Linked DNA regions of Bombyx mori. The protein of the gene in region 4 interacts with the protein of the main gene of each other region in a pairwise test. Links are inferred from orthologs where the notes say so. Each region holds a gene or a part of one and is shown on either strand. Other genes may lie near its edges.

Region 1 (4,041 bases), on a different chromosome or scaffold from region 4:
TTCTCAATCGTTATAGACTTTGTGCAGTCTTCAGTTTTGTATATACCGACCAAACGATTCGACACCTCAAACATGTTGTATCGAAGCGATATGATTATGAATTGAGCGTTCTTCGTTCTTTCCTGAAACAATCGAATAGAGTTATAGACGACACTAGCAAAGAGCGGCTAGTATTAATACTGATGATTTACTGGTGGTAGGACCTCTTGTGAGTCCGCGCGGGTAGATAATCACCGCCCTGCCTGTTTCTGCCTTGAAGCAGTAATGCGTTTCGGTTTAAAGGGTGGGGCAGTCGTTGTAACTATACTTGAGACCTTAGAACTTATATCTCAAGGTGGGGGGCGCATTTGCATTGTAGGTGTTTTGGGAGGCTTAAACGACGAAAGGGAAGATCTTCCACCGAGCGGGTGATATTTGCTCGGTAGACCGACGGTCCGAATATTGTTGTTCGGAACTTGTATATATGCAAGCTTATCTTGAAAATATCGTAAGTGAGATTCAGGCATCTGTCAAATATCTTGCGTTGTATGATGGCTACCCGCCAGTGTCTATCGGATCATAATAAAAAAAAAACCTAAATAGCCATTTGATATTCACGGCATATTTACGGAACACATATCTCGTGGATAAAGAGCTCTTACTGTATCTGTACTATATCTGCGAGGAGTGAAGTTGTGTGATTTGTTTTATTTTGTCTATTGTAATGTTTCTTTAGGATTAAATGTGTAGTAACGGTGGTTTATTAACTGTTTAATATCTGTGAAAGTGCACAAATGTGGGAAAATGAAACAAAGCCGCTAGACGTAACTTCTAAAAAGTCCACTGAAAATATCTTAGTAGATGACCACTATTTTACTGAGATTATATTTCATCCCATATCATCTCATTTCATTTCACTCCATATTTATCATTTTTCATAAAAAATAATAATTTAAATTAAAATAAGACATGACTTAAATGTCTTAGTTACCAGGTCATAAAATCCCTCAAAAGAAAAAAATATATATTTTTTTTCTTTTGTAGGCAGACGTGCATACGGCCCACCTGATGGTAAGTGGTCACCGTCGCTCATGGACGTCAGCAATGCCCGTATTTAATAATATGTAATATTATTATAATATATTAATATGTAAAGGTCACCGACCTTAATATAGTTTGCCACGATCGAAACGTTTTTGAAGTCCAAGGCCGCGTCTATCTCGTCCATGACGTACAGAGGCGTTGGTTTGTAGTAATGTAAAGCGAAAACCAGGGCCAGTGAGGATAACGTCTTCTCGCCGCCCGATAAATTCGATATGTTCTTCCAGGACTTGTTCGGCGGACGCACGCTGTAAACAAAACAAGAGTTATTTAGGTGTCGTGAGATTATTATTTTTTTTACTGGCCGAGTCCCGCGATGTTATCTGCGGTTATTTTCGTACCGCGAGTGACGCCGCGGGGCTAAGCAAGTCTAGAAAAAGTAGCCTAAGTTACTCCTTATATCATGAGCTACCTATTAGTGGAAGTCTCGTCAAATTTGGTCCAGCCGTTCCAGAGATTAACCGGAACAAACAGACAATAATTTTTTTTTTTTTTTCTACCTATCCTGATAGCCTTGAGAGGCTATTTCAGCTTCACCCTAACGTTTGTAGGTGAGCTCACGGGGCTCAAACCGGAGTGTTGCTAACACTGCCCCTAGCAAGAGCAGAGCTTCGCAGAATCTACCACCGGATCGGAAACGCGACCCACTGAGAAGATCCGGCGAGAAACTCAGTGGGCTGTGCCTATGGGCTAGTTCGCTCGTCGAGCCCTTCGTCGCAAGCGACGGGTTCGACGAGGACGGTGACCGGGGAAAAATTGTGAAAAATTGTATGTGTTACCGACAATCTGTATAATACAGTATTCTATACAATACTTAGGCAATGTATAGAATACCTAAAACGTTAAGGTAAAGTATGTAATATTTTTCATTTTATACTTTGCCTAGGCATTCTATACAAAACCGAATGCGCTGCCCGTAATGTGTGTAAAAGAACTGATTACTTAACTTTTAACTAATTACTTAGATTAGATTATGTTAGTTAACCCAGAAGAATTTTAAATTCAATGTTATTTGATTGTGATTTTACAATAAATACCTATGAATATAAAGATTGTTTTTAATCAAAACTAACTACTTATTAATTGTTAATTTTAATAAAGTTGATTTTAAGCAAATCTTATGTGCTATTTTTGTCTGTCATTTTATACTCTTCTGCTTATTTACTTACATAACATTGATAAATACAGGCCCAAATATAGTTATTTTACACATTATGTATAGATTTACTTTTTATAGTTTAGATGAGTGGACGAGCGCACGGCCTACCTGGTGTTAAGTGGTTAGCGGAGCAAAAAAAAAAACTAGACGGTAAATTCCGCCACCTACCTTATATATGATATGAGTACTAAGGTCTCAAGTATAGTTACAACGGCTGCCCCGCCCTTCAAACCGAAACGCATTACTGCTTCACAGCAGAATAGGCAGGGCGGTGGTACCTACCCGCGCGGACTCACAGCACATGCTACCTACCACTAGTCGAAATTTTGCATTTCAGACATTTTAATCGCATATATCGAATCGGCGCCATTGCCTTAATACTCTTTAGAAATAAACTTACATTACGAAGAATTAAACATTAAAATATATGCAATTGAGACTTCGAGATGAAGACCAGTCAAGGGAATTATAATTTTATTACTAAACACATAAGAGGCTTTATATAAAAATACTCCATAAATTATCATAGGCCAGTACGAATATATATATTTTTTTCCTTCCTATTCTAGTAGCCTCTAGGGGTTATTCTAGATTAGCCGAGCTTGTAGGTGAGCTCACGGGGCTCAAACCTGAGGACGTTGCTAACACGAACCCTAGCAAGAGCCGTGCTTCGCAGAATCTACCACCGGATCGGAAACGCGACCCACTGAGAAGATCCGGCGAGAAACTCAGTAGACCGTGTCTGTGGGTTAGTTTACTTATCGAGCCCTTCGTTGCAAGCGACGGGTTCAACGAGGACGGTGACCGGTGCTTGAGGTACCTAAAAGCACCGTTAGTGGATCGGGAGGATCCAAAATGACGTGTTTGGGGCGACGTCGACTGCTTTCCATTCGGTCCGCAGGATCGGGTATAGTACGATCCTTAAAACAAAATACCTGAATATAATCCCTTCGGAGAATGGATCCAGCGAGTCAACAAGTTCTAGTTCAGCGTCGCCTCCCAATGTTATCATTTGGTACATCTCTTTCAGTTTCATTGTTATCGTATTGAATCCTGGAAGGAAAAGTTTATTTTTTATTGTACAGAATTGGAGTTTCGAACTTTACACTAAACTAGCGGCCCGCTCCGGCTCCGCTCGGGTCTTTAACAAAAATTTCAACGATATTTGACGTTGTTTTATTTTTTTAAATAAAAGAACACTTATTGCGACATAACTACAATAGTTAGACATATGCTGTCCCGACACTTTTGGTAAATAATAATGTGTTCTACAAAGCAGTAGTACATTATTTTATTATACCATCAATAGTTTTCGCAGGCACGCGATGTAAAGATTATTTTAGGTAATTTTTGGAGTTTACTCCTTTAGAATCGATTTACATATATAGGCCCGGGGTATGAAAATTATGGGGACCAAAATCGTACTAGCATGTCACACGAAATGCGTTATGCGCCTGATTGGCTCCTGATTGCGTGATGCGTGCGCGCGCCAATCAGGAGCCAACGCGCGGCCGCGTTATCGCAGGTGACGCCGGGCTGCTGCGCCGGCAGTCCGCCACAAAGCCTCGTACTGATCGCGCGTTTCTCTCATTATTGTATTTTCATATATTTGTTAGTCGTTTGTTTTGTGTCTCGTTAATTTGTTAATAATCTGTAGTGTATCGTGTTGTCGTAATATAGAACTATTTCTCGTATTGTTTCGTTTAATTTTTTATATCCAGTAAACTCCAGTCGTGCGTCGGAGCGGACACACACACTTTTTTTTACCTATTGGGATACATTATTGGAGTTTTAGTAAGGAT
Region 2 (4,041 bases), on a different chromosome or scaffold from region 4:
CGGACTACGCATGCGCCAACATCAAGTCCCCGGTCGTGTTGTTCCACAGCGGAGAGGATTGGTTCTCCGATAAAATAGACGTCGAGAGACTAAAGGATTGTCTGCCGAACGTTCGAGAAACCGTTTACATTGAAGACCTGAGTCACATCGATTTTGTTTACGCGAAAATTAGTAGGCACGCCGTCTACGACAAAATTGTATCGATCATAGACAACTTCGAATTTGAAAATGGTTTAAAGATAACGAGTAAATCGATGCGATATAATTTTTTTACTAAATAAAAATTAATTTCAATAAATTTAGTGTAATATATTGAACATATTGAAGTACTTTTATTTAAACACATACTATATAATTAATTTGACATGGTTAACTGTCAGCGGCTTATTGGTGTATAATAAAATCATGATTATATCAAGTTCTGTCACGGCTCACAAAATGTAAATTTTTTTAATTTTAACAAACAAATAAAATACAAAAAAAAAAACACCTGTAGCACTCGGGGAGTGGCACAGTAAAGCTATTGCATAGGATTTTTTATCAACTTATGCAATTATAATTAAATATGCAATTTCGAAAAGGGCACATCTCTGAAAATGTAAAATGTTCAGGAAATGAAAAAAAATGATTATTTTCTAAAGCAGTGTAAATTTTAAAATATTAACTTTTGATATATATTTTAGTGTTAATTAGTAATTGAAAATTACTGGAATTATTATAAAATGGGTGTAGGTAAGCCTCAAAACTACATGTATATGAAAAAACGTATTTGAAAAAATATGCGACATATGCCCTTTTCGAAATTGCATATTATTGAAATTAGACAATAATAATTTAATATTAAAACAATAATAAAATAGACCACGTTATATTTATAAACATTAACGAAAACAAAACATTAACTGTCCCCTTCACACTCATAAATAAGACCGCGCGAGAGAGAGATGGGCAGATTTTTCATGATGCGCATGCAGTGCAACGTCACGCTGCGCGCTTATTCACAAACACTACACAAGCGCAACGTGTGAATGTGTTGAGCGCGAGGTAAGCGGAGTGGGGGTGTTAGGTTTTATTTATGTTACGGAATTTCTTGATTCGGTCACCGCGCTCAAAGCCAAAGCTCAAAGCTATGCAATAGCTTAACAATGAAGAAAATCGAAGCAAGAGTGTGACTCACCCAACATCGAGTTCTTCTTTCCTCTTATACAGTTTCTCCTTCTGCTCCGAGAAACTAATGAACTGGTCCAAGGCCTTTTTGTTGACATGATTATACTTCTTGAGATGTTGATTGGCTTTCTCCAGCTCTTTGAAGAGCTACGAGAAGAATTTTTATTATAATTTAATTCTATTATTTTTATTCTTCTACCACTACTGCTATGCAACTACAACTTTTATATAATTTAGTTGACTCGGTCTCTATGTGTGAAGCGCGATAGTTTTACTTATCTTCATCTTATCTTCACCCTCATCTATGTGTTCTCATAATCTTGATGGACATATTTAAAAAGAATTCATTAAATCCCATTATTATATATACAAACGTTAAATACTGAAAATAGTGGAATAGTGATTGAAACAAATTAACATTTTTTCTTAATTATGTGACCAAAATTGTTTTATTTTATATAGCTATTTTAAGCCCCGCCCTCCGCGGTAGCTATTTACGTGGAACCATTTTTGAAGCGTAATTACTTTTCGATAGTTTTATTATTCTTATCATATATGTATTTAAACCGAACTTTACTTACATTGAAAAGCTGTTTTTGTATTAAGCTTTTATTATTATTATTAATTCTTTATTTCAGTTTTGTTTTTTAAAACCATAACATTTTGTTAGTAGTAATTACTTATATCTATGTTAGTGACTTAAAAAATCTAACACATAACTCTCATTATATATATACATTTTATACCATTACATTTTTTATTTTATTTTTTTCTCCTTCAAAGTGCCTACTGCAATCAGTGGTCAACTTGTTTTCTCAGTAATATAGTTAACTAACCTGTTTCAGAGACATTTTCTGGTACTTAGCGTGTAGTTCGGGTGCGTTGGGCAGTGTGCCCAGGGCTGCTATTTTATCGAGCGACTCTTGAATTTTGTCCTGTAGCAACACTTCTTTGGAAGCCATCTTTTCTAGACCCTTAGCGTCCTCCTCCATTTTATCTTGAGCTTCTTTTTCCTGGTGAATTTGAGAAAAATGAGTTCAACAAATTATTGTTACTCATGTATTTTATTGTTGTTCCAATGGGTGTACTAACTCAGGGTTCGTTTGATTGTTAACGCGATTAAAAATGACTATAGCTTCATTAAATAATTATAGCTCATTGCTCCGTTCATTTTACTCATGTCTACTATAATTCTTTAAATTATCGCCATATATTAATTTTAACACAGTTACGCACTTCTTGAATCTTTCACTTCATCAAAGAGGGTTAACTGGAAGAGAATGCTTGCATGGCGTTAATTGGTTAATTATTGGTTGTAGGACCTCTTGTGAGTCCGCGCGGGTAGGTACCACCACTTTGCCTATTTCTGCCGTGAAGCAGTAATGCGTTTCAGTTTGAAGGGTAACTATACTTGAGATCTTAGAACTTATATCTCAAGGTGGGTGACGCATTTACGTTGTAGATGTCTATGGGCTCCAGTAACCACTTAACACCAGGTGGGCTGTGAGCTCCTCCGCCTATCTAAGCAATAAAAAATAAATAAATAAAAAGTTCGCCTTTGTACAATATTTTTGTGCAATAAAGATTCTTCATTCATTCATTCATTCATTCAAAGCTTACTTTATTCCTCCATTTATCTAACTCCAATTTGAGAGCCTTCTCGTTTTTGACGGCGGCTTGCACTTTCCTCTCGACCTCTTCTAGTTCTTTGTTGATCTGCTTGATGCGCTTCTCGGTGGCGGACAGATCGGTTTTGCTGTTAGCGAGACGACGTTTCCGATCTTCAACAGAGATCTCTTGTAGAGCTTGTACTAATTCGTCTTTACGTCTGTCGAAGGAAATGATTTCGTTCAATTACCATTGATAGCATATGTAAGCATGCATTTGCATTGATTTTATGTTAGACAAGCGACCCGCCCTCGCTTCGCTTCGGAAACATGAAATTTTATCATTCATGATAGCGGAGTCCCGCTATGTTACCCGCGGTTATTGTCGTACCGCGGGTGTCACCGCGGGGCGAAGCTAGTATAAAAAAGTAGCCTAAGTTACTTCTTATATCATTAGCTACCACCTATCAGTGAAAGTCTCCTCAAAATCGGCCCAGCCGTTCCAGAGATTAACCGGAACAAACAGACAGACAGACAGACAAAAAAAAAAGTAGGTATATTACTATGCACTGTGGTATACGTTTTTACGCATTTACTAAAAAGTGGTTATTTTATTATTACAAACACTTACACTCTACTTTTATTGATTTGTATAGATTTTGCCAAATTAAATAATAATACTAAAAAAAGTATTATATTTTTTTATCGTGCTTGTAGGCAAAGAGTGTACAGCCCGCCTCATGGTGGTTATCGTCACTCACGGACATCAGCAATACCAGGTTTAAGCCGCTGCCTAGCGTTAAGTTTTATACAAAATTTGCTTTTTTTGCGCACAGAAACTAATGATTTATTCTCATTGGTCACAAATTCGGAACGGTTATACAATCAGTGCGACACGTCATGTCTTGAAACCTCTTTATTAAATCCTGTAGCGGGTCCAATTTACAAGCTAATATATTATTTTTAGAGGTTTAAATTCGGTAACTTTACACAAACTATCGAACGAACGATGAACGAACCGAATCAAATTGTTGGTCAGCAGATTCTCTAGTTTGTTCTTTGTGGCTTCGAGATTCATTCTGGCGCTGAACGCTTCCTTGTTCTCGAGGGTGAGGCGGCGAATCGCGTCGTTCAGTTCGTCCACTTTACCTTGGTCCGCGGTCGATAGTTGCTCCATCAACTCCTATAACGATAGTACAAATAATATTATACAATTTGACCTCAGAAAAATAATATATGTATCTTAAACTAATTTAAATATAAATTT
Region 3 (4,041 bases), about 8.7 Mb from region 4:
GCCCCGCTGTAGCAGCAGCTTGCTCGTGACCTCGGTGTCCACCACTACATTGTATAACTGAAACAATCACATCAGCACTATTTAATACAAATATCGAATGTTTAACAGTCAGAGAGGTAGTTTACTTTCACTGTATTTTACAACATCGAAACAATTTTTTTCAGTTTCTATTAACTGATAGATATTTGTTGTTTATTTGTTTTAACATATAACAGCACACTGATTGTCTCTGATGGTGTTTATTAGCGTTTAATAGAAACTGGAATACGTCATTTCTCATTAAGAGGACAGGGACACTTGAGACCCAGCGCGAGCGGTATAAGGCGGGCTCACCCGTCCTCCGGCCGCCGTCTCCAGGGCGGTGCAGTACACCGGATCACACACGTCGATCAGCTTGCAGACGGTACCTGCAATCATTGCAACATTTTAATCGCCATTGCGGTCACCCTGTAGATTTTGAATCATCAAAAATATAAAGATCATATTAAACAATTAACATAAAGTAGAAATGTGAGCTAGACATGTAGTCGAACCTGCGACCCTGGCGCGGTCGAAGTGCGGGTCGGGGGGGGAGTACCGGAAGTGGCACCGCTGCAGCGCCGCCGCCAGCGCGTCCCGCCGGTCCCGCGCCCCCCGCGCCGCCCCCTGCGCGCCCCGCACCGCCGCCCCCAGTGACGTCACGCGGGACTCGTCGTGCGCCAGCCCCGCCAGCTCGCGCTGCAACCGACCCACGCTACAGACGGCTGTAACCGCGACACGAACCCCGGCGGCCCCACCCACCCACCTCCAGCTGCTCGACCTGCGCCTGCTGCCGCCGGATGCTCTCCTGATCCGCGTCGTACTGTTTGCTGCTGGTAGTGAACTCCTTCTCCAAAGTTTTCAATCTCTCCTCGGCGTGCTTCTTGTCCATCATGGCCGAGGTGATGCGAGTGGACGCCTCCGACGCCTGTTGTTTGGCAGCTACAAAGAGCAACCACAATAAGCATGAAAATAGTCAGTGTTATTGTTAGTGGTTAGTGGTGTGACATGTGCACTGTACTCTCTGTGTATCCGTAGTGGAATATTGGGTCAATAATGGAGTATTGGGGAGACACGATCAACAGTGCACTATCTGATATTAAGGAACGAAAATTTTTGACTTGTTTGTTGATGATATATACGATATTAGTCTTTTATCTGTGACACCTGTAGCCACTATCAACTTACGACAAGTGAGGTGAGATAAATTTCTACTAGTCTGTCATAACGTCAAGACGCACCCATTAGCTGGTCCTGCAGCGATTCAGAAGCATCTTCCTTCCCGGTGCTCACGGCCAAGAACTTCTGTTGTGCTTCCGCTAAAGCTTTCTCACTGGTCTCACTAGATGTGCGAAGGTTCTCGAATGTTGACGAGACCTTTCGTAAAATAGTAATAGTTAAATAAAACATTTTCAGTTTCTTGAATACTTATGTCTATCGAGGCAAGGATCCTACATACCGGATGTATCAAGCCATATCCGATTCCGATACAGCAATAAATTACTAAGTCAAGAGTAACGTAAACAAAGCATAAATACTTTTTGTCAAGATTTATCAAGATTATATTTTGTGAGTCCACATAAGACCAAGAAAAGACAGCCAGTGCATACCGGGTGTGAGCTAGTACTGCGAACCTGAAGAGTTCAGTGCAGAGGCCATGTTTTCTTCGTAATGCTGTGCTACACTTACAATATCGGTCATTCATTGGTTATTAAACAGATGTATTGTAGTTCTTCACGCATGTACAGGTCCGTGCCATTATAAGGAGTGTCTTTAGGACATAATTTAGTTCACATATAAAACAAGTACATATTATGGAGAGCAGGTAAAATAAATGTTTTCTTTGAGTGCATTGAGGTGTGTTGAGCTTGAGCATCACAAATATTGTTTCCACAACCACATGCATGAATAAATTAATAAAAGAAAGAGTCACCGGAAACAATTAACCAACCATTTGACTAAAACGATTCACTCTAATTTATCTTTGTAATTCGAATGTTTCCATCCAAAGACAGTTTACTTTCAAGAAGTGTCAAGTGTATCCTGCTGGGACCGCACCTCATTAAGAATCTGTTGCTTTGATGTGAGAGCCTGCTCGTCCTCAGCCAGTGCCTTTTCGAGTAGTTTGACTCTCTTCTCGTGTCCGCTCAGGGCTTCTTTGCTGCCTTTATATTGTGAACTTGCTGCTGCTTCAACCTTCTCCAAGTTTTGAAGTTCTACTTCCAAATCTTTGAGGACATTCCCACTCTCCTGATACAATAATTAAATGATTAGTGGTTTACATATAAAAAGTCTAAACTTTATCAGCTAACTACATCATCCGATGAATAATAACGACACGAATTGATAGCAGATTCCTTAAATTATGGATTAAACGCACTCATGGTTGCCTAATGCACAATGGATATCAGTTCCAATAACCATTACTATGTGAATTCTGCTCCAGATCCAGACATAAAGTGCAAGTCTCAAGTGTATCCCTTCACACCGGACCGCATAGAATGCGACAAGAGCCCCGCTCTGGGGCTGGACTCACGGACGAAAAGCGACGACTTACTGCTGTCTCTTACCTCATCCAGTTTTTTGTTTAAGTCAACAACTTGCTTATCCAGCTCTTTCATTTCTTTCTCATTGTTTTTAATAGTCTCTTTTTTCAATTTAATGTCGTCCTGCACTTGCGTGACTTTTCCCTCTGCTGCTTTGGTTTGCTCTTCAGCAGAAACATACCTGTAACGGAGATATCGTTTTAACTTTCGTGACTATGATGTGCTAAAATATTGCCTTGTTCTATCATGTAAATAAGTGGTTTAGAAGGGGAAGGTAATAAACATACTATGGACACTTGTGCATGTATACTGTAGAGAGAGATGTTCAATAAAATTGTTTTCTTTTCTTAATGTATTTAAAACAGAAAGAAAGAAGTACTCAACATACTAAGAAGTACTCAACATACTGACATTTTTGTGTTACACTGAACAGGGAGGCACACGGGCGGCCGCGCAGTCCTGTGGCGACTAGGAACTTAGGCAATGACCATACTCACTTCCAAGCGACACACAGCCTGGTGATATTCTCCAATTCTCTGACAACCTTCTGATATTCTTGGAACTGAGATCTTTCATCTTGCAGCTTCTGAAGTTTAGGTGCTATGTCTTCTCTTATTATCTATTTTGAACAGAAACAATTTTGCCACAACAGTTCTTTTAATGTATTTTCTGAGAAGTTTTAGTTCAGTTCAAAAAAATTTACATCTGATTAATTGTGATCCCTTCTACAAAATCATTATTTTATTCAAAAAAGTATTGGCAGTTCTGAAAGTCCACCTAAGTAGTCCTAGAAATCTACTAATTTGATGAAGTGATAAAATAGTTTTATTTGTGTCATATTATGCTTTAAAACGAATCGACATTTGTACAGTGTGCAGTGACAGTAAAATTGTACAATTGACTTACATCATTAAGTTCCCGGAGCTTTGCATCTTTCTTCTCAATAGTTTTCTGTGCTGCTTGTTTTTTAGCTTCATACATTCTTGTACCTGCCGCTTCCTCTACCATTGATAATATCTAACAAAAAAGTGGTATTGTAGCTGTATATATTTTAGCCTTCAGTGCAATGTGGTTATTGGATGCCAATGCTAAACATGAATGTCTCTAGTGCCAATTTACCATGTTCATGTTCTTATGGCCTTTTTATTGTTTATTGTATTTTATAATTATTAGAAGAAATTTGTAATCATTAGATCAGCTAAATTAGTTACATTTCATTTATTCACAAGGATGTCAAACACAATTACAGCACAGGTTTTTTGCCTTTTTTTATTACTTAGATAGGTCATTGAGCTCACAGCCCATCTGACTTTAAGTGGATACGGGAGCCCCGCCACCCACCGTGGGAAAAGGCATCCAAGCCTCAGTGTGCAATTACTGCCCCACCCTTGAAAAACGAAACACATTACTGCTTCAAGGCAAAAATAGGCAGAGTGGTGATACATACCTATACGAGCTCATGGGATGTTGTACTGCC
Region 4 (4,166 bases):
TACTATTGTTGATCGAAGGTATTATCTATAATTATATTATAGGTATCGATGCGTACGTGTTTTAGAGCGCGCATGAATAACATTTGAAAAAAAAAAAATTGCTGTGAATTTGATTTTTGTATTTTTTTAATTAAAGTTTTTTTAATCTACTTACAAAATGTCAAATTCGTCAAATAGTGATGAAGAAAACACTTGTGAAGCTTTGAGGGAAAATGTTTCTTTCTTTTCATGAAAATAGTGACAGTGATGATGAAATTAGAATGTTTACAAATGAAGAACGAATGAAGAATGCGTATTTGTAGCGAAAGTGGTGAATCTTCCAAAGATGAGTTTAATGTTTTGGACGGCTTTGATTCCGATACGTTTGTGCAACTTCCTTGTAATATAGGTACTTTTGTCCAACGAAACAAATAATACTTTTTTTTCGAAATTCCCGGACCAAAACATTTACACGCCGATATTAAAAAGCCTATTGGATATTTTTTTTATTAATACTGTATAGTAAAAAATATATTTCATTTGAGTAATTTGATATGTCCCGTACACGAAATAATTACGAAAATCTATCTATATTTGAGGAAAATAATTAAGATTCTGTGCACACTTAATCATTAAGGTATTTTTTTCAAAAATCCTTTCGCAATTTCTGCAAAATATGTGAAAATAAGCTCAACATTAAAAGGGTTAAAGAAATGTAAGAAAAAACATTCTTGTTTTTTATATTAATTTACATAAATTATTGCACGTTCCCGGTAGCAAGCAATTTTTCAATTCTCGACGAGTTTTTGTGTATTATCACTTTGAGGTCGTTTACTTTATCTTGTTTTTCTTGGATTTCTAAGTCCAATTGCTTCAATTTTGTACGCAGAGGTATAAGAGACTCTTCATTACACCTGAATAAAAAACAAAGCATTAGACATTGAAAATTAATTAAGAAATGAAAGGGAATTAATATTAAGCCTGGATTTAGGGCCTATTTTTACGCTACGCAAACAAAAAACTATTCATTTATGAGTTTGATTATACTAAATGATAATACATGTAATAATAATGTTCTATGGATGGTATACTTCCTTTTTTTAATGCTTAGATTGGTGGACTAGCTCACGGCCCACCTGATGTTAAGTGGTTACCGGAGCCCATAGACATCTACAACGTATATGCCGCCAACGATCTTGAGACATGAGTTGTAAGGTCTCACTTTTAACCGTACAAAGTCTGCTCCGCCCTTCAAACTGAAACGCATTACTGCTTTAGCAATAGGCAGGGTGGTGGTACCTACCAGTGCGGACTCACAAGACGTCCTACCACTAGTAATTCCTTTTTAAAGTTGGACTACCGACTATCCTACTCTTCAAAGCGGAACGTGTTATCGCTTCATAACAGAAACAGGAAGGATACTAGAATGTACCCGTGTGGACTTACAATCTGTCCTGCAATAAATATCGGGCTCGACTTGAACTTCACAATGTTATTCCTTAACTGTGTAATCGTTCGCTAAACACGTCCCGTTTTATAATTATTTATCGTATACAGGTAAACACAAATTAGTTAGGAAAAAAGAGCCCCACATCACTCGATAGGTATACAAGGGGCGTTATACTCATTAGGCATAAGACGCTTCAATGATTAAAACTATTAGCTGGCTTTTGGTTAAATTTAGGAGAGACTCGCTATTTCATTCGAGTAAGTACATGTGGTAATAAAAAGTAATTAAATAAAACGTAATTTATTAAATTAGAGATCTACCTGGTATCAACCTATGTCACTTAATCTAGTTTTATTAATAAGTAGAAACTTTTCGGTCTCAGCAACTTTGATAAATTGTAGTTTACAAATTCTCGAACTCGAAATCAAATGCCATGGGTAAATCGAATCTCCAAAAATAATCACAATCCGGCAGTTAGCTACTACCAAGAAATTAGAAAAAAAAAACTTAAGCACTAACGAATACAAATAACTTTACTGGTCGTGCGATTTATTGCACGGCGTAATAATTGTCCCATGCCGTTACATATTAAAACAATGGAGACTTCGACCTCATGCCTTAAAAAGAGGAGTAGCAGCAACATGTTATCATGTCGCGGTACTGTAATAACATAACACCACGTGGACAATGAGCTCATTCTACCTATTAAGGGCAATTTCTACAAACAAAAAAACAATTTAACAACCTACATTAACCTATATAATCCGTAATAGTAAATATTATTTGTAATAAAATCTAATAAAATTTTGGAAAGGACACGTAGGTACTTTAAATGATTCACATTAATTACCAACGAAATTTTTTTCTGTTTTTTTTACGTATACAGCCTTTTTACAGAGTTGAGTAGAGTTGAAGGTGCCGAACGATTTAAGTGATAATGCCGTTACGACTCCGCTCTATTAATGCAGTAAGTGAAAAACATTTAACTAAATATCTCACAATTTTTGCTTGTGCGTCTCTTTAGTGATTTCTTCGTACATGTTTGTCCATTGGTTTAGTTCTTGTCGCATCACTTCCACGTCTTCCTGTAAATGATCGAGTACTTTTCCCAAAGGATTGGCCACACGCGATAAAGCCTGAATATTGAATTTTAGTTGTTCAATTTCTTGATGTTGTGTTTCTCTGGCTTTTTGGATTCCAGACTCCCATTCCTGACAAAATTGATGATTGTAAAGATTTGTTTAATAGTTTAGATTTAAATAGCAGGGACGTGATTTTGTGAGGTGAAGGCAAGAACATAAATGTTATTTAAATAAACGAATTGATTTAAAATAAACTTCTAATTTAAAATTTTACATAATATACACAAATAATAAGCTGAATTCACACGACTTAGGAAATAAGGCCAACGTAATAAAATTAATACATTGCCACCGATCCTTGATGCATCTGCAAAATTTCAAATTCATCAAAATCTAAATGGCACTAACAATTTCAGTTTTTCCCGAAATCTTGCTTAGTTCTCTCTGCGCATCGATTATTTGTTGCACTAAATGACCGTGGTCATTCAGCGATTGTAAGTCTCCGGATATATCTTGGGTCATTGAACTATTGTGTTGCTCCGCGATTATGATAGAGTTGTCTTCCTCCTATAATTTGAATTAGAAAGTTAGTTTTCATAAAATTTGCGAGTCTAAAAAAAGGATAAACAGGAATTAGCCTGACCTCGTCGTTTTGCACGTGTTCTGCAATAATATTAACTTTCCCTAAAATTAGATTCTCGTTTTCAGAAATTATGGTTTCTAATTTTTCTCTTGGTCGTGGTGCTCCAGGCCTCGAAGAAGATGGTCTTACACTAGCTGGTCTCTGAACCACGGAGGGTGTAGAATATTCAGCTGGCTTTACAGCGAAATTATTTCCTGTTTCTGATTGATCGTTTTCGATTTTTAATTTTGTGTTAATAAGCAAAGGCTCTTGTGAAACTTTATTTACATTTAAATCCTTAATAATATTATCTGTAGTTGGTGTATCTGGATACGATAGATGTTCGTTTGTATGTAATTTTTTTGAGTTTGTATCTATGCTGATTTCATTAACATTTTCGCCCATTAAATTTTGTGAGGATGATGATGAATTCAGATCTTGCTCATTTATAGCGTAAGAAGTGCTCAATTGGTCTTGTGCTCCTGGTGTCTCAATATTACTGCTTTGATTTAAATCATCGTTTGTGTTTGAATCCGAATTATCAGTTTTGTTGTCTATTTTCCACTGAGTTTCTTCATTGAGTTCAATTTTTTCTTGGGTTTTAATTTCTTGAGGGTCGGGTAAAGCTCTTTGTGTCTTAACTTTTTCCGTTATTTGTACATGTGATTCCGTAGATTTTTTTTTACCTTGCGGTACAATTTTTTTTGGATTCCCTTTTGCTTGTTTCGTTTTGTTTTGCGGCTCATTCTTAGCAATATTTTCATGCTTGGGTTGGTTCTCAACTTTTTCTTTTTTAGATGAAGATTTTTCTTTTGCTTCGTTTTTTAGGTTCGATAAATTATCGCTGCTCTTAGAAATTAAGTTTTTTGTACTGTTTTTCTTAGGAATCGATTCTTTAGATCTCGTTTCTTTTATAAGCACAGTATTTTGTGATGCATTTTCTTTATATTTTTTCACTGCTTCTACTGACGATAAATTGTTGTCTAGAGCTTGTGCCAAACATTGTAAGAGTTCATTCGTTTTCTCTGCCTCT
Region 5 (4,686 bases), on a different chromosome or scaffold from region 4:
AGGCTATTTCAGCTTCACCCTAACGTTTGTAGGTGAGCTCGCGGGGCTCAACCGGAGAGTTGCTAACACTGACCCTAGCAAGAGCAGTGCTTCGCAGAATCTACCACCGGATCGGAAACGCGACCCACTGAGAAGATCCGGCGAGAAACTCAGTGGGCTGTGTCTATGGGTTAGTTCGCTCGTCGAGCCCTTCGTCGCAAGCGACGGGTTCGACGAGGACGGTGACCGGTGCTTGTGGTGCCTAAGAGCACCGTTAATGGATCAGGAGGATCCGTAATGACGTGCTTTGGGCGACGTCGACGGTTTACCATTCGGTCTACTGGGTCGGGTATGTAATTTCCAGCGGCTACGATGAGAGGGTTCTCATGTCGTGCCGCCTTCTCAAAATGGCGCAGCGATGCCGACTGTAGATACTTACTGACAGAGTCAAGCTCCAGGTCATCGTGGAGATCCACGTTCCTCAGGAACCATGGTGCTCCGACGGCTATCCTGCAGAATCGGGATTGAATAACCTGAAGGGGCTTCAAGTTGGTGCGGGTTAGTTCCATACTTAGAATGGAGAAGCACGAGGAAGATAGCAATCTTCTTTCCACGTACCTACTAATTTAAGGGCCACACGGGCCATTTACTATCCACAAACTACTGCCACTGCCATCTATCGAATTGAAAGGAAAATTTTCAAACTAGTCCATGCTCATCTTTTATAGTCTGTGATAATGTATTGATCTGTGGTCTTTGATGACTGCATAGCAAAGAAAATTAGCGAACATCAATTTATTTGTTTCAAATATGTAAATAAAATTGAAGTTTCTCTAAAGGTTTAGAAAATTTAAAAGCTTTTTTTAACATTTCATTTTATTCAAATCGGTTAACTTTTTAAGTCATAAATTCGTTTTTTTTTCTTTTGCCCCTCACTAAGATATAAGAATGTTGCGATGACATCACTTTCTCAAAGAGTGATTAGAAGAGATTGGATAAAAGATATTTCAGTTAATGCTATTTACAATGTCGTTTAATGGATCAAATAAGTTTATTATTGAAATAATCTAGTTAATTAAATTAAACTATTATAATTAAATTATAATAATTAAATTAAACTAGATTAATTAATATTTAAAAAAAACATCAGATAATGTTTGAAACATTGTTTCTACGGCCCAATATTTTTTTACCAAATAGAAACTCTAAACTGTTGAATTAACGTGTCCCAAAATTTAGATTGAAACAATGGTTATTTTTTAAGACTTCAGTAGACTTTTTGGAAGAACCAAGAAGCCACGTCCAGCGGATTTAATTCATTGTCCCATACTTATGTACTACAACAGATGCTAAACGGTTAATAAGCTAAAAATGTTATACGTTGAAACTTTATGAAACGCTAAATAAATAAACGAAAACAATTTATACAACTTCGTCCTTCGCGTTCCTACTAAAAGTCCTTAGGTCCTGCTTAACTGATAGAGTATGTTTGTGGGGACATAAAATAGGTTTAAGGGACAGAGTTAAGGAGAAGATAAGCCCAGAATATAAAGTACTGCTAAAAATGGAAGATGTTGACTTAATAACTAATCAATAGCTAGAGAATCGGAGACATTCTAGCTAGTAACCGAACAAATTGTTCTTGCGTAAACTCTTTCCCTGACTTCTATAGTCAAAATTTAGTAAATTTACTACCTATGTAACGAACTAAATATACTATTGCTGCTAATATGATAAAATTAATAAATGCACTTCTCGAGCTATTTACTCTGTGATATGGGCGGACCGAAGTTGGTTGGCTTTTGGTTTTCGCCGAATATATTAAGTGTATAATCTATGGTTTTCGCGGTCGGTCTTTCGCTTCGCTCGATGCCGTGTTCGTACTCGTATTCACGGATGATAGTACAAGTCGTTTTTACATGATTAACGGCTACATAAAAGTTTCAGACAAAAAGTGAACTGTGTTATGTCAAAAAACTGTTTTCATAGTGTAAGTGGCGTGGAATCCTATTTATTAGTTCTCAGACGGCTGACCGCCAACTCGCGTATTCTAGTGTATTTAGTGTGCTGACGAATTTTATGTGCTTGACTGTGCTGTAATAGCATACCTTGGACTCGCAGGAGAACGTAAGTTCTAAAACAATTTATATGTAATATCATGTTTTATTCGTAAAACGTTTATTGTCAACGAAATATTATTGAGAATCATTCGAAACAGTTATTTAGGCCAACTCTATTTAAGCCCATTTCTTTTATTTTAATGAAAAATATTCATCTGTAATTTGTACCCAGTACTGTTACTAATTTATTATAATGTTTCATAAACTTCTTAATAGTCAGATGCAATTGAGCTATTTGATAAAGACGCTTCCTTAAATGCCGTTAGTGAAAGCTAGTTATGGAATGTCTGAAGTTGTGTATAATTGGTTAAATTAAAAAAACAAATAATCGAAAAAACTAAATACGCCAATAGCTACCTATCGGTTGTACATTTGAAATTTTTCTAGGTCAAGAGATTAAAATCATATTTACCATCATAAACAAGACATTGGTCATAAACATAGTAATGAAAAATCGGATGGTTCATTACCATTAGTCCACTCTTATAGACATCTGGGTGGATCTCCGTTTACAGAACAAGATAAGAAATCAAAGTGGAACTGTTCCAAACATTCATGCTAGAAAAGTTCAAAATTCAAATATGGAAATAAATCTTCATGAGTAATTAAACAAAAATCAAGTAATTAATTAATAACTACCATTATCATAATTGAATGCATTAAAAATGATTCTAAAATTTGACCTTAATTGTCACCAAAAAGTTTTCCTTAACTAAAATTTAACAGTTTGATTTTCAAGTCGGTTGTTGATTATGTAGGACATCGTTTAATAAATATTGCATCATAACTGCAGTGCACTTAGTGCAGACTAACTGTGAGCAACAATGTGAGAGTGTTGATAAAATTACACTCTTAAGGATAATTTTAAAAATTTATTAAGAAATGTAAAGACAACTATTTGTCACTTGAACTACCTGGGACCTCCCCCAAAGTTCACCACAATGCCGGGTTCAGTGTAGTCTGCATCTAGCAAATTGCCACATCCTTCAATAATCCATACAACCACACACTTTAGAACACACTTTTTGAACTTTTTGGCCCTAGATGCCATCTGTTCTAGAGCCAATGTACCTTCCCAATATGCCAATATAATGTCACTTCAACCTCGTAATAATTGGGCTATATTGGTTATCACAGCTATTCTAGCTATACCTTCATTCTCCATTTAATCTCTCACAGAAATTATCCATTTCAATAAAACAAAAGAGATAATATGAGATTTGTAAAACATCCAACTAATCTTCAGACTGATTAAAAATATTGCTTTGAATGTTGGATAACTTTATTGTGGTGAGCTTCTTTCTTTTGGATCTTTAAAACCACATGCTGTATATATTCAGCTACTAATTTAGGTTTTTTTACATGCCAAAATAGATTAAACCATTTTCTGTTAATGTTTTAAGCTCCTCGCACCAGAGAATGCTCTTTAATATTTGGTAAGTATCTTTTACTGGAGAAATGTTTAATTGAGCTGTCATAGTTGAGTATATACAAGGATTTTGTCCATAGCCTCTAGATCAGAATCAGCGTATATTATATTTAGACAGACATGGCATTATGGTATTATTAATCCTTTGATTGCCGTGTAGGTTGCCAATACCCTACGTGGTGCACTGAAGTTCTTATGTCAATTTCTGTTACTAAGACACTGAAATGTCTAGTAAACTCTGGACAACTATGAATCCGAAGATACTAAGAATGAATCTATTTCAAATAGCCTAAAAGACTAAAATATATATTAAAAACAAAAGTTGACAATCCAGGCACTTGATAACTGTTTCAGTGCTCCAGATAGAGCACCAGTGACTTACATGCCAGTCAAAGGGTTCAGGGATCCCATTTGTCTCTACCATTTCATTAAAATTTTAATAATAATTATGTAATTGAAAATATATAAATTTCAAAATAAAAAATGGTTCGGTCGCATTCAGTAAATTAAAAAATGTGTTCCCGTCCAAAATCGCTCAGTGCCTTAAGAAACAGGTGTAAACTAATGTGTTTTACTAGTGATGACTTACGGTTCCAAGATGTGGTGCTTCACAAGGGATATTTGTAGGAAGCTTAGGGTCGCGCAGCGAGCTATGAAGAGGGCTATGCTTGGTATTACTCTACGAGACTGAATCAGAAATGAGATCTGTAGAAAAGCCAAAGTTGCTGACATAGCCTCTAGGATTAGCAAGCTGAAGTGGCAGTGGGCAGGCCACATAGCGCGGAAATTGAACGGCCATTGGGGTGGAAAAATCCTCGAGTGGAGACCACATACTGGCAAATGCAGTGTGGGACGGCCACCTAACAGATGGATCGACGACTGGTGAGAATCGCTAGGTCACGTAGAATACAGGTGGCAATGAACCAGCCGCACTGGAGATTGGTTGGAGAGGCCTATGTTCAGCAGTGGACAGTGAACAGGCTGAGATGATGATGATGTCAATTTTACTTATGTAATGTTTCGATGGTTAATATTACCTGGCTAGACTATACCTAATAATATAATATAATTTTAAATGGGTATAAATTGTCCAGAAACACAAACTTTCTTATTTTTTAACTCATTTGGATGATACTTAATTGTAGTTAAATGCATAAT
Region 6 (3,958 bases), on a different chromosome or scaffold from region 4:
TCATGCAGATCCTGCCTATGTGCGGGACTGTCTGTAATACCTTTTATTTATTTGTTGTGTATTTCAGTGAACGAATCACAACCATAATGTGAAAACGGCCACCCACCGTCTATGCCTTAATTGTATGATAATTATGGAAAATACAATTTTTGGAGCTTTAATTTTTATTCCACAATATTATTCATTTGTTAATTATTTCATAAGAGAAATTGGTATCTGCCTGATGTATAGTTGCATTGCTTGGCACTGTTGTATGTAATTGTTTATTGAATCACCATATGAATGTATAAATATAAAAAAAAACTTTTCGTTTTGTTCTCAAAAAATTATTCAAATAATGCCTATTTTGCTTTGCAACAAGAAAATATTTTAGTAGAAACGTAGTTACATTATTATAAGTTATTACCTAACTAAATATAGTTATCTTCCATAAAAATTACACAATAGATATAGAGAAAAGAAACTTTACATTACTGTGAACTATTTCGCGACAGAGAAATACGTTTGTAAATTGGATATCATTTTCGCATTTACAGGGCCTGAGAGAAATGCTGGATCTATCTCGAAGGTACGGGTCTGATCGTGTGATGGCGCCTCCAATGGAGGACAAGGACGTTCAAACAGACGGCCCGCCGCTGACGGGAGCGTGACGCCCCGCGCTGCCGGCACACCGACCGACTGCTACCTCGCGCGCTCACAGGTAGATCCTGCAAAATACTCCTGTCTGCACATCTGAATGTTTTTACTCACAAATTTAGAAATGTCAAAAGTCAGCTCATCAGGCGATGATTTTCATTATCAATTAGTCGGGTTTCGTTTTTTTCAATAATTGAAAGATCACAAAATGATGCACACAAAATTCGGTATAAATAATTGCATATGTTTTGTAATAATATACATGTGTATTTAATGATTTCACACAAGGTATTAAGGTTTTATTAAATAAAGAAAAATCTTTTACTGCATGTAATGGTTTATTTAACAATGACATGATCTTATAACTTTATCAAGTAATAGTGTTTGGTATCAAATTTAAAATTTATTTTAATTGAATTTAAGACCTTATTAATAATTATTATAAAATATTATCTGAAGTTTTTTTTATTGCAAAGTATAAAAGTAGTAAAATCGTATTATGTTACTTATTTTAAATAAATAATGAATTAATCGTTTTGTACATTCACTCTTTGCATTCACAATTTAAAAGAAATGAATTGTTTAGGCGATATGCCAAACTTAAATGATACATAAATTGAGACACATAAGTGACTTCTCTAAACATAGATCAATTGTTGCCTGATTACACTAAAATATGTTTCCTTGGTTTTAATTGTAATAAATAGTCTACCCTTAAACTGTATTCTTTGTTGGCTATCCTATTGAAAGGGGTGCATATAAGTTTAAAACGTATTTCACTGTCAGCCAAATCTATAAATTATCATGAAGTTTGTGGTATTTGGCATAAGTTACATGTGGGTTAGTCGTCCTGTTTGTGCTGGTCAAAACTGTTTAAACCATTAGCACTACATACACAAAATGCGCCTGCAATGACGATGTAGCGAAACTTGGTGGTTCCAATATTGTTTTCCGGACAATAAAGCTGTACTTTAAATTATGTGTAAGATATCTCAGAACTGTAAAGGGGTCCTTTGCCTAATGCACATGTGTTTGTAATTCATTTGTGCTGACAGAGAGCTTTAAGCAAAAAACAGTGACCGTTCCAGTATACAAATTTATACCTATTGTTACTCACAAGTTTTGGATCCTAGGTCTATTGACATGGTTTACCTTTCCGCTTGATAAAAAAATGTGACAAGAATACAGTGATACAACATACCTTTCAATGTAATGATTATTTGATTTTTCCTTTATTTGAAGTTTCGGTGTCAATAATTTGTAATGTTCTAAAAAATGTAGGAATAATCGTTTTACTTTCTCATTTAAATTAGAGTTGATGGTTGTAGACGTGATAGTAAATTGTAACGTGTTCAAGTCTCATCTCGTAGATGTAACTTCTTAAATAATATAGTCTCTTTCACAGCTACTGTGATCTTCAAAAAGTTTTTAAATGGTCCATATTCTCAGCGAATTGACCATTTAAACAGTAGAGCATTTAACACTGATAACCTTTAAGTAGTGTTACAACTATTATTTACTTAAGTATCTGAAATAGAACTACATAATATTGTTTTTCTTTATCTGACTTTATCTGATTTACAAATCAAAGATTAAAGATTACAAAGATCTACAAATTATTCTATATTTGAGGTAGATTATCTATTTTGTATGTTTGTCACACCTCGTCAATGTGAGACCGATTTGGATTCATATTATTAAGTTAAATTATTTTAATTGTCGAGTATATGAATATTATTAAGATAATGGACTTTTGTTAATTTGAAAATAAAATTGTACGCTTACACATACAGTTTCGTAAATTTTTAATTCAAGATTTTAATACTCGTTACTGTATACCTTCTGGTGTTGCTTTGTAAATTTATAGTGTTGTACCCTATTTAGAATGATCTTAGATTATTCGAATTTCACTTATTATGTATTAGTAAACACGATAAACGGACATTATGATTTACTATTCGATTGACACCTGCAAGCTAGTTATAATGATAGTAGACTATAATATTATACAGGGTGTAAGAGAAACGTTCCTGAGGCCAAATGGTATAATTCTTAAAATTCTTACTTTTGCTAAATAAAATGAGTTAATGAATATGAGCAAACTGATTCCAGGTTTGTAAGCCCTGAAAGAGCACTGTTCAGCATCAGTGCAGCTGTCTTGACAATCTTGACAGTAGTACAGACCCTTTATCTATAAGTGACATTTGGTGAATTTTGAAGTCGTCGTGGCCTAAAGGATAAGACGTCCGGTGCATTCGTATCTAGCGATGCACCGGTGTTCAAATCTCGCAGGCGGGTACCAATTTTTCTAATGAAATACGTACTTAACAAATGTTCACGATTGACTTCCACGGTGAAGGAATAACATCGTGTAATAAAAATCAAACCCGCAAAATTATAATTTGCGTAATTACTGGTGGTAGGACCTCTTGTGAGTCCGCACGGGTAGGTACCACCGCCCCTCCTGTTTCTGCCGTGAAGCAGTGATGCGTTTCGGTTTGAAGGGTGTGGGGCAGCCGTTGTAACTATACTGAGACCTTAGAACTTTTATCTTAAGGTGTGTGGCGCATTTACATTGTAGATGTCTATGGTCTCCAGTAACCACTTAACACCAGGTGGGCTGTGAGCTCGTCCACACACCTAAGCAATAAAAAATAAAAAAAAATTTAGGGCTTGTAGCATTTACGTCTGAACCTTTACGGCTTAGTTTTTTTGGGTGTATTGTTAGTAACCTCGAGGGGTTTTGCTAGTTTCACACGTGGGTTTAAAGCGTTAGCTGCAGTAATACGACTTTGGTTAGTTGAGCATTGTTGCGTGAAAAACCTCTGACAAGTTCTATGAGGCGAAGAGGGGATGTTTATTAAAAATACGTATTATACGTAATTCAGTATACCTATTTAGCATAGTTAGTCTCTATTTCGGGTCCAAGCAACAATACCAACATCGGCCTTCGATTATGCCACATAGACATACTGATTTTTCTGTGTTTACATTGTTCCCCAGGTCAGTTTCTGTTATTTTTTATTATCGCCGTTAGCTGTCATAGTGAAACTTTGCTTGGTCGTTAATATTTGTGACCTTGCTCGTTCACGAAGCCCGCTATAGAAAGCAGAGTATTAAATACACTTGACATTGGCGAAATCTAAAAGGAAACGCCATAAACCTAAGAGATAGATAGATAAGATTTTTCATTTGCTGTTGAATAAAAATTACTCCTTATAGGGATATACCTTATAGGTAATGGTATGCATTTACGCAGGTTTAATAGTTGTAATTATTGGTATTACATTACTGTAGGAGAAGAGCACGAAAAATGCCACCA
Region 7 (4,516 bases), on a different chromosome or scaffold from region 4:
TTTTTTTTAGGGGATTTTATGATCTGGTAACTGAGACTTTTAAGTCATGTCTTATTTTAATTTATATTCATATTTTTATGAAAAATGATATTATGGAGTGAAATGAAATGAAAATGATTAATTTGAGACATTAATCAACTGGGATGAAATCAAATGAAATGAAATGAGATGATATGGGATGAAATATAATCTCAGTAAAATGGTGGTCATTTACTAAGATTTTTTCAGTGGACCTTTTTCGAGGATCCCGAGAAGTTACGTCCGAGCGGCTTTGTTTCATTTTCCCACATTTGTGCACTTTCACAGATATTACACAGTTAATATGCCACCATTAGTACACATTTAAACCTGAAGAAACACTAAATAGACAAAATAAAACAAATCACACAACTTCACTCCTCGCGTTCCCGGCAAAAAATCATCATAAACTTTAAAGGAACAAATTACGCAAATTGTAAACTATTTTATTTATTTAAGGATTACCAACAGGGTTTACAGTAAGACATAAAATAGCATTGACATGTATAGAGCAATAATAATTGATAGCTGCAACTCTAATTAGAGGCAATCACAGCATGCATTACATGAACAGATTTAACAATAATAATAATAATAATAAAACAAAAGAAAGACAACATGGACAGCAATACCCAAGTATTCAGACCAAGGCTGAGGTCAGTTCAACAACAACTTTTTATAATTTTGTTCCTGAATATTGGAAGGGAATCGCCAAATATGTCAAGGTTTTCAGCTTTACTGACTAGATTATTATAAAAGTTAGTTAGACGAGGAGCAGGTGAGTGCAGTAAATTGGTTCTGCTAAAGCGGGTGCTGAAAAGAGCACCGCTCATAACTTTTTCGTGATTTGGACAATTTTTTACGTGATAAAAAGTTTTCTTCCCAGGAGGCAGTACAAAATGCTTTCACTCAGTTTGTAGAATCTAGATCACCAGGGTTCTATAGCAAAAGCATAAATGACCTTCCTATTAGATGGTAGCAATGTATAGATACATAATAATGGTAGATATTTTAATTAAATAATTATTAAAAAAAAAAGGTTTTTAAATTCTTCAGTACAAATCGGCAATTTCATACTTTAACGCTTAATATATTAATTTAACATATTCAATCATTATTTCAAATCTGTCACAAAGTGAAATACGTTTTTAAAATACTGTTTTCTTTACAATACCTGTCTATAAAAAGACTAATCCTTTTCGTACAAAATACTCATTAATCTAGAACTGTTTTGATAAAACGACTCCATATTATATTGTTTTAACCAACGTCGATACGTTGCTAAGACAACAAAAGCAGTACAACTAAAACAAACAATACCTACATTAATAGTAAAGATTATAAAAATTACATTACATTTAAAAAAAATAGCAACTAGAAGATTGATTTGCTATTGGTATTCTTTTAGATTTTAGTTACAAATCATAAAGAAGGATACAAATACAATAATTTATTTAATGTACTACTACAACTATAGTGAAATTACTACTACAGTGTCTAGTTACTGATTATTATTATTTTATTGATTCACTCAGTTATGGCAGAAGAATTGCAAAAAGTTCACCTATTTTACGATGACATCAATAAAATAAAGGTTCTTGAGGAGAATGTTTTGAAAGATACTGAAGATTTAAGGGACACCTGTAAGGAGTACGAAAATAGTAGGTATCTGAGTTCAACTGTAAACATTGGATACGTTCTATGTATACACAAGTTTTTATTAAACTTAGTTATTGTTGTCGTTATCAATTAATGTTTCAGTTTATTGTAAGATCGTACGAGCTGGTACGATTACTCGGATTGTTGGATTTAATAACCGAAAATCCTACGATCTCGTGATATTTATGTACTAGTTATTAGTAATATAACTGTGCCATTTTCGGCATTGCAGAGGTGCAAAATTTTGAAAAAATTATAAGCTCGCTGTTAGATCTAATTAAAGATCTCGGCGACAATGTTGAAAATAAGAAAATGGCTGCAATAGGAGCAATGAACTTATTAAAATCAATAGCCAAAGATAAGGAATCCGAACAGCTGAAATTGCAAGTAAGATTGGTTCTTTATTATCATAATTTATAGATAGCCATTTAATTAAACGAAAATATAAATTTAATAACTAGGTATGAAATGTTATATAATTTTGTTGGAAAATGTCTTCAATAATTTAATTTCGTGCTCAGGCACTCAAACTTTACCTTTTACTCACTTTACTTTTTATAAACTTTTTTACTCAAGATCTTACATTTTAGTTCATTTTACCGTATATTATAAGACTACTTTAATTTTGGAAGCCATCTTCTATCCTTAAAAAACCCGTTTTTTAACCTTTTCTTATTGCTCACAAGGAGCAGAGAAACCACCCCACTCCAAGTAAGCCTATTCGTCACAGCGAGCAACATGGATATACTGTGACTACCCCATTGTGTTCTTTTTTTTCTTTGCATATCAACATACATACATGGACATATTTCCATTACTTCAACATAGCAGAGTTTGCTCTCCGAGAACTGTGTATCTTCTGCTTTGCAGTAGTCACACAGTATGCTGTACAGACGTTTCTCCCTTCATCTCATAATATCAGCGGGCGGGATTAGCAGCAGAGCCCAGTCCGTACATTTCCCTTTTCTACGTGTTGTGTCCCGTGGGGGTTTTCACTTGAACCGGGACACGCACGGGAACTCGAATCCTTTAAGTAGGGCTATGGCGTGAAGTTTTTCTAATATCGTTTGCCAGAATGATTTACATTTAATAGCCGCGAATGCGTTCGGTTCATGTTTTTAATGTTCTAGATAGCTCACTGATTTAATTAAAGGCATCTCAGCGCTGCATTTAGTCAATCTACTTGTGATTTTATTGCTTTTATACACGATAGAGCGCTGTGACTTAGGTGTCTTCGCAGCTTCACTAAGATGGACGGGCTTTGTCAGAACGGATGGAATCTAATAACAGCTCCTCGAACAACTCCAAAAGACGTTTAATAGGTCATAGAGATCGGCTCTGCGAGTGTATTTATCACATAGGATCGGAATCACGACCTGCTGAGAAAAATCGAAAGCAACTCATTGCCTTTATGAGCTTATTGTCACTCTTCAACTAATTTCATCCAGAAATTAGAATCAAAAATATTGAAACTTATGTTACGTACTCTTTTCTTAGGGTCGTTAAAAAGATAATGAGAGGTAATTATTTTATTCACTAGTGACGAGTCATATGACAAACTGACAGTTGTGACCGTTGACCGGTTAATTTAAATAAAGAATATTTCTTCTGTTACTGTGATGTAGCTTTTTTTTATCATCGCTCTTATTGATAACTTTAATATTGTACGTAAGTTTGATGAATACAAGAAATACAACACTTTCAGGCGGAAATTAACGACAAGACTTCATTATTGGAACAAATAGACAGCGAATACGATACACTTCAAATCCTTGAAGCAACTCAGATGGAAACAATTGAATATCTTACACAATTACGTTAATTTTAATAAATAAATAAATAAAAGTGATTTTTAGTAATATATTTAGTATATATTATTATCCTTTTCAATCGGTTGTTTAAGTTCTAATAATATTATTACCTCTACTTATTTGTTTAGAATTGATACCATTAGTTAGGTATTATAGCAATGGATTTTCAGTTATAGAACGCGTTCTCAAACCATCATTAACAAAATATCATTGGGCTTGAAAATAACGTAATGTGTTATCTTTAAATCACCGCTTAAGTTTACGAGCCCTTAGCTTATATGTTAAATGTAGTCAGACTTCAGTCGATAGTTTGTAATCATTTTAATTTTCCTGTTCATCAACACACATTAAATAATAAATCCGTAGTATTGTGATTTTACAAGTTACGGAATGCAACGCTTAATGATTAAATTAAGTGGCGTTCATGCCTCTCTGCGCCGCCATTATCCTATCACTGAAGTAAACAATCTGGTGGGATCAGGAAGAATATATTTTAAAAAGGAAGTTTTAGGCTTAGAAAAATAGATATCCCAAGTGTATAAACCTGAAAGGGGACTATGACGAAAAATAAAGAAAATAGAATTTAATAAAAGTTAATTGCGTCATACTTATTATCACTCTATTTAACACCCCTAGTTTAGTCTCAAATCTCAATTGTGTAGTTTAACTGTCCTACCCTTCAAACCCGAACGCATTACTATTTCGCAGCAGAAATGGGCAGAGTGGAGGTAAATGCTTAAGTGAACTGACTAGAAACCCTACCGTTAGCGAAACTAATTCAGTAGCAAACTTAAAATAAGTTGTAATCGTATGATACTTACTATAATGAATTCCATTAACAGAATAATACAGCCTGTAAATATAGGGAGAACATTTATAAATTCAATGGCGCTTATCATACGGAGACAAATGTATGGATTGAATTGTTGAATAAAACTACAATTCAGTCTGTAAAGTGTAATTTTCATTGAAACACACAGGAAAAGAAAACAAGCTAGCTCCTCTTGCTACTGAATTTGGGGTTTTTC

The links.
Region 1: the proteins of TRAF3-interacting protein 1 (region 4) and structural maintenance of chromosomes protein 4 interact in a two-hybrid assay, tested with the Homo sapiens proteins (2 studies listed by BioGRID and IntAct). The link is inferred for Bombyx mori from reciprocal best matches to the Homo sapiens genes TRAF3IP1 and SMC4.
Region 2: the proteins of TRAF3-interacting protein 1 (region 4) and structural maintenance of chromosomes protein 3 interact in a two-hybrid assay, tested with the Homo sapiens proteins (2 studies listed by BioGRID and IntAct). The link is inferred for Bombyx mori from reciprocal best matches to the Homo sapiens genes TRAF3IP1 and SMC3.
Region 3: the proteins of TRAF3-interacting protein 1 (region 4) and structural maintenance of chromosomes protein 2 interact in a two-hybrid assay, tested with the Homo sapiens proteins (2 studies listed by BioGRID and IntAct). The link is inferred for Bombyx mori from reciprocal best matches to the Homo sapiens genes TRAF3IP1 and SMC2.
Region 5: the proteins of TRAF3-interacting protein 1 (region 4) and spectrin beta chain interact in a two-hybrid assay, tested with the Homo sapiens proteins (2 studies listed by BioGRID and IntAct). The link is inferred for Bombyx mori from reciprocal best matches to the Homo sapiens genes TRAF3IP1 and SPTBN1.
Region 6: the proteins of TRAF3-interacting protein 1 (region 4) and FGFR1 oncogene partner 2 homolog interact in a two-hybrid assay, tested with the Homo sapiens proteins (2 studies listed by IntAct). The link is inferred for Bombyx mori from reciprocal best matches to the Homo sapiens genes TRAF3IP1 and FGFR1OP2.
Region 7: the proteins of TRAF3-interacting protein 1 (region 4) and intraflagellar transport protein 20 homolog interact in a two-hybrid assay, tested with the Homo sapiens proteins (2 studies listed by IntAct). The link is inferred for Bombyx mori from reciprocal best matches to the Homo sapiens genes TRAF3IP1 and IFT20.

The regions. Positions count from the first base shown.
Region 1 is NC_085134.1:4,032,999-4,037,039, reverse strand, and holds part of structural maintenance of chromosomes protein 4, read right to left. Parts: intron 3,293-4,041; coding exon 3,175-3,292; intron 1,329-3,174; coding exon 1,145-1,328; intron 123-1,144; coding exon 1-122. UniProt on the Homo sapiens protein: Central component of the condensin complex, a complex required for conversion of interphase chromatin into mitotic-like condense chromosomes.
Region 2 is NC_085129.1:4,090,677-4,094,717, forward strand, and holds part of structural maintenance of chromosomes protein 3, read right to left. Parts: intron 3,958-4,041; coding exon 3,794-3,957; intron 2,996-3,793; coding exon 2,788-2,995; intron 2,181-2,787; coding exon 2,004-2,180; intron 1,315-2,003; coding exon 1,178-1,314; intron 598-1,177; exon of another isoform or gene 282-597; coding exon of another isoform or gene 1-281. Other genes in the region: lipase 3-like, read left to right, coding at 1-281. UniProt on the Homo sapiens protein: Central component of cohesin, a complex required for chromosome cohesion during the cell cycle. The cohesin complex may form a large proteinaceous ring within which sister chromatids can be trapped.
Region 3 is NC_085131.1:14,291,208-14,295,248, forward strand, and holds part of structural maintenance of chromosomes protein 2, read right to left. Parts: intron 3,582-4,041; coding exon 3,471-3,581; intron 3,184-3,470; coding exon 3,062-3,183; intron 2,746-3,061; coding exon 2,589-2,745; intron 2,269-2,588; coding exon 2,077-2,268; intron 1,396-2,076; coding exon 1,260-1,395; intron 961-1,259; coding exon 785-960; intron 718-784; coding exon 534-717; intron 408-533; coding exon 334-407; intron 58-333; coding exon 1-57. UniProt on the Homo sapiens protein: Central component of the condensin complex, a complex required for conversion of interphase chromatin into mitotic-like condense chromosomes.
Region 4 is NC_085131.1:5,588,684-5,592,849, forward strand, and holds the end of TRAF3-interacting protein 1, read right to left. Parts: coding exon 3,155-4,166; intron 3,079-3,154; coding exon 2,920-3,078; intron 2,641-2,919; coding exon 2,429-2,640; intron 894-2,428; coding exon 737-893; 3' UTR 704-736; downstream 1-703.
Region 5 is NC_085124.1:11,160,188-11,164,873, reverse strand, and holds the start of spectrin beta chain, read left to right. Parts: upstream 1-1,746; 5' UTR 1,747-2,106; intron 2,107-4,686. UniProt on the Homo sapiens protein: Fodrin, which seems to be involved in secretion, interacts with calmodulin in a calcium-dependent manner and is thus candidate for the calcium-dependent movement of the cytoskeleton at the membrane.
Region 6 is NC_085119.1:12,368,792-12,372,749, forward strand, and holds part of FGFR1 oncogene partner 2 homolog, read left to right. Parts: intron 1-536; coding exon 537-650; 3' UTR 651-3,958. UniProt on the Homo sapiens protein: May be involved in wound healing pathway.
Region 7 is NC_085116.1:6,782,865-6,787,380, reverse strand, and holds intraflagellar transport protein 20 homolog, read left to right. Parts: upstream 1-1,251; 5' UTR 1,252-1,349; exon of another isoform or gene 1,350-1,553; 5' UTR 1,554-1,555; coding exon 1,556-1,679; intron 1,680-1,909; coding exon 1,910-2,064; intron 2,065-3,382; coding exon 3,383-3,499; 3' UTR 3,500-3,538; downstream 3,539-4,516. UniProt on the Homo sapiens protein: Part of intraflagellar transport (IFT) particles involved in ciliary process assembly. May play a role in the trafficking of ciliary membrane proteins from the Golgi complex to the cilium.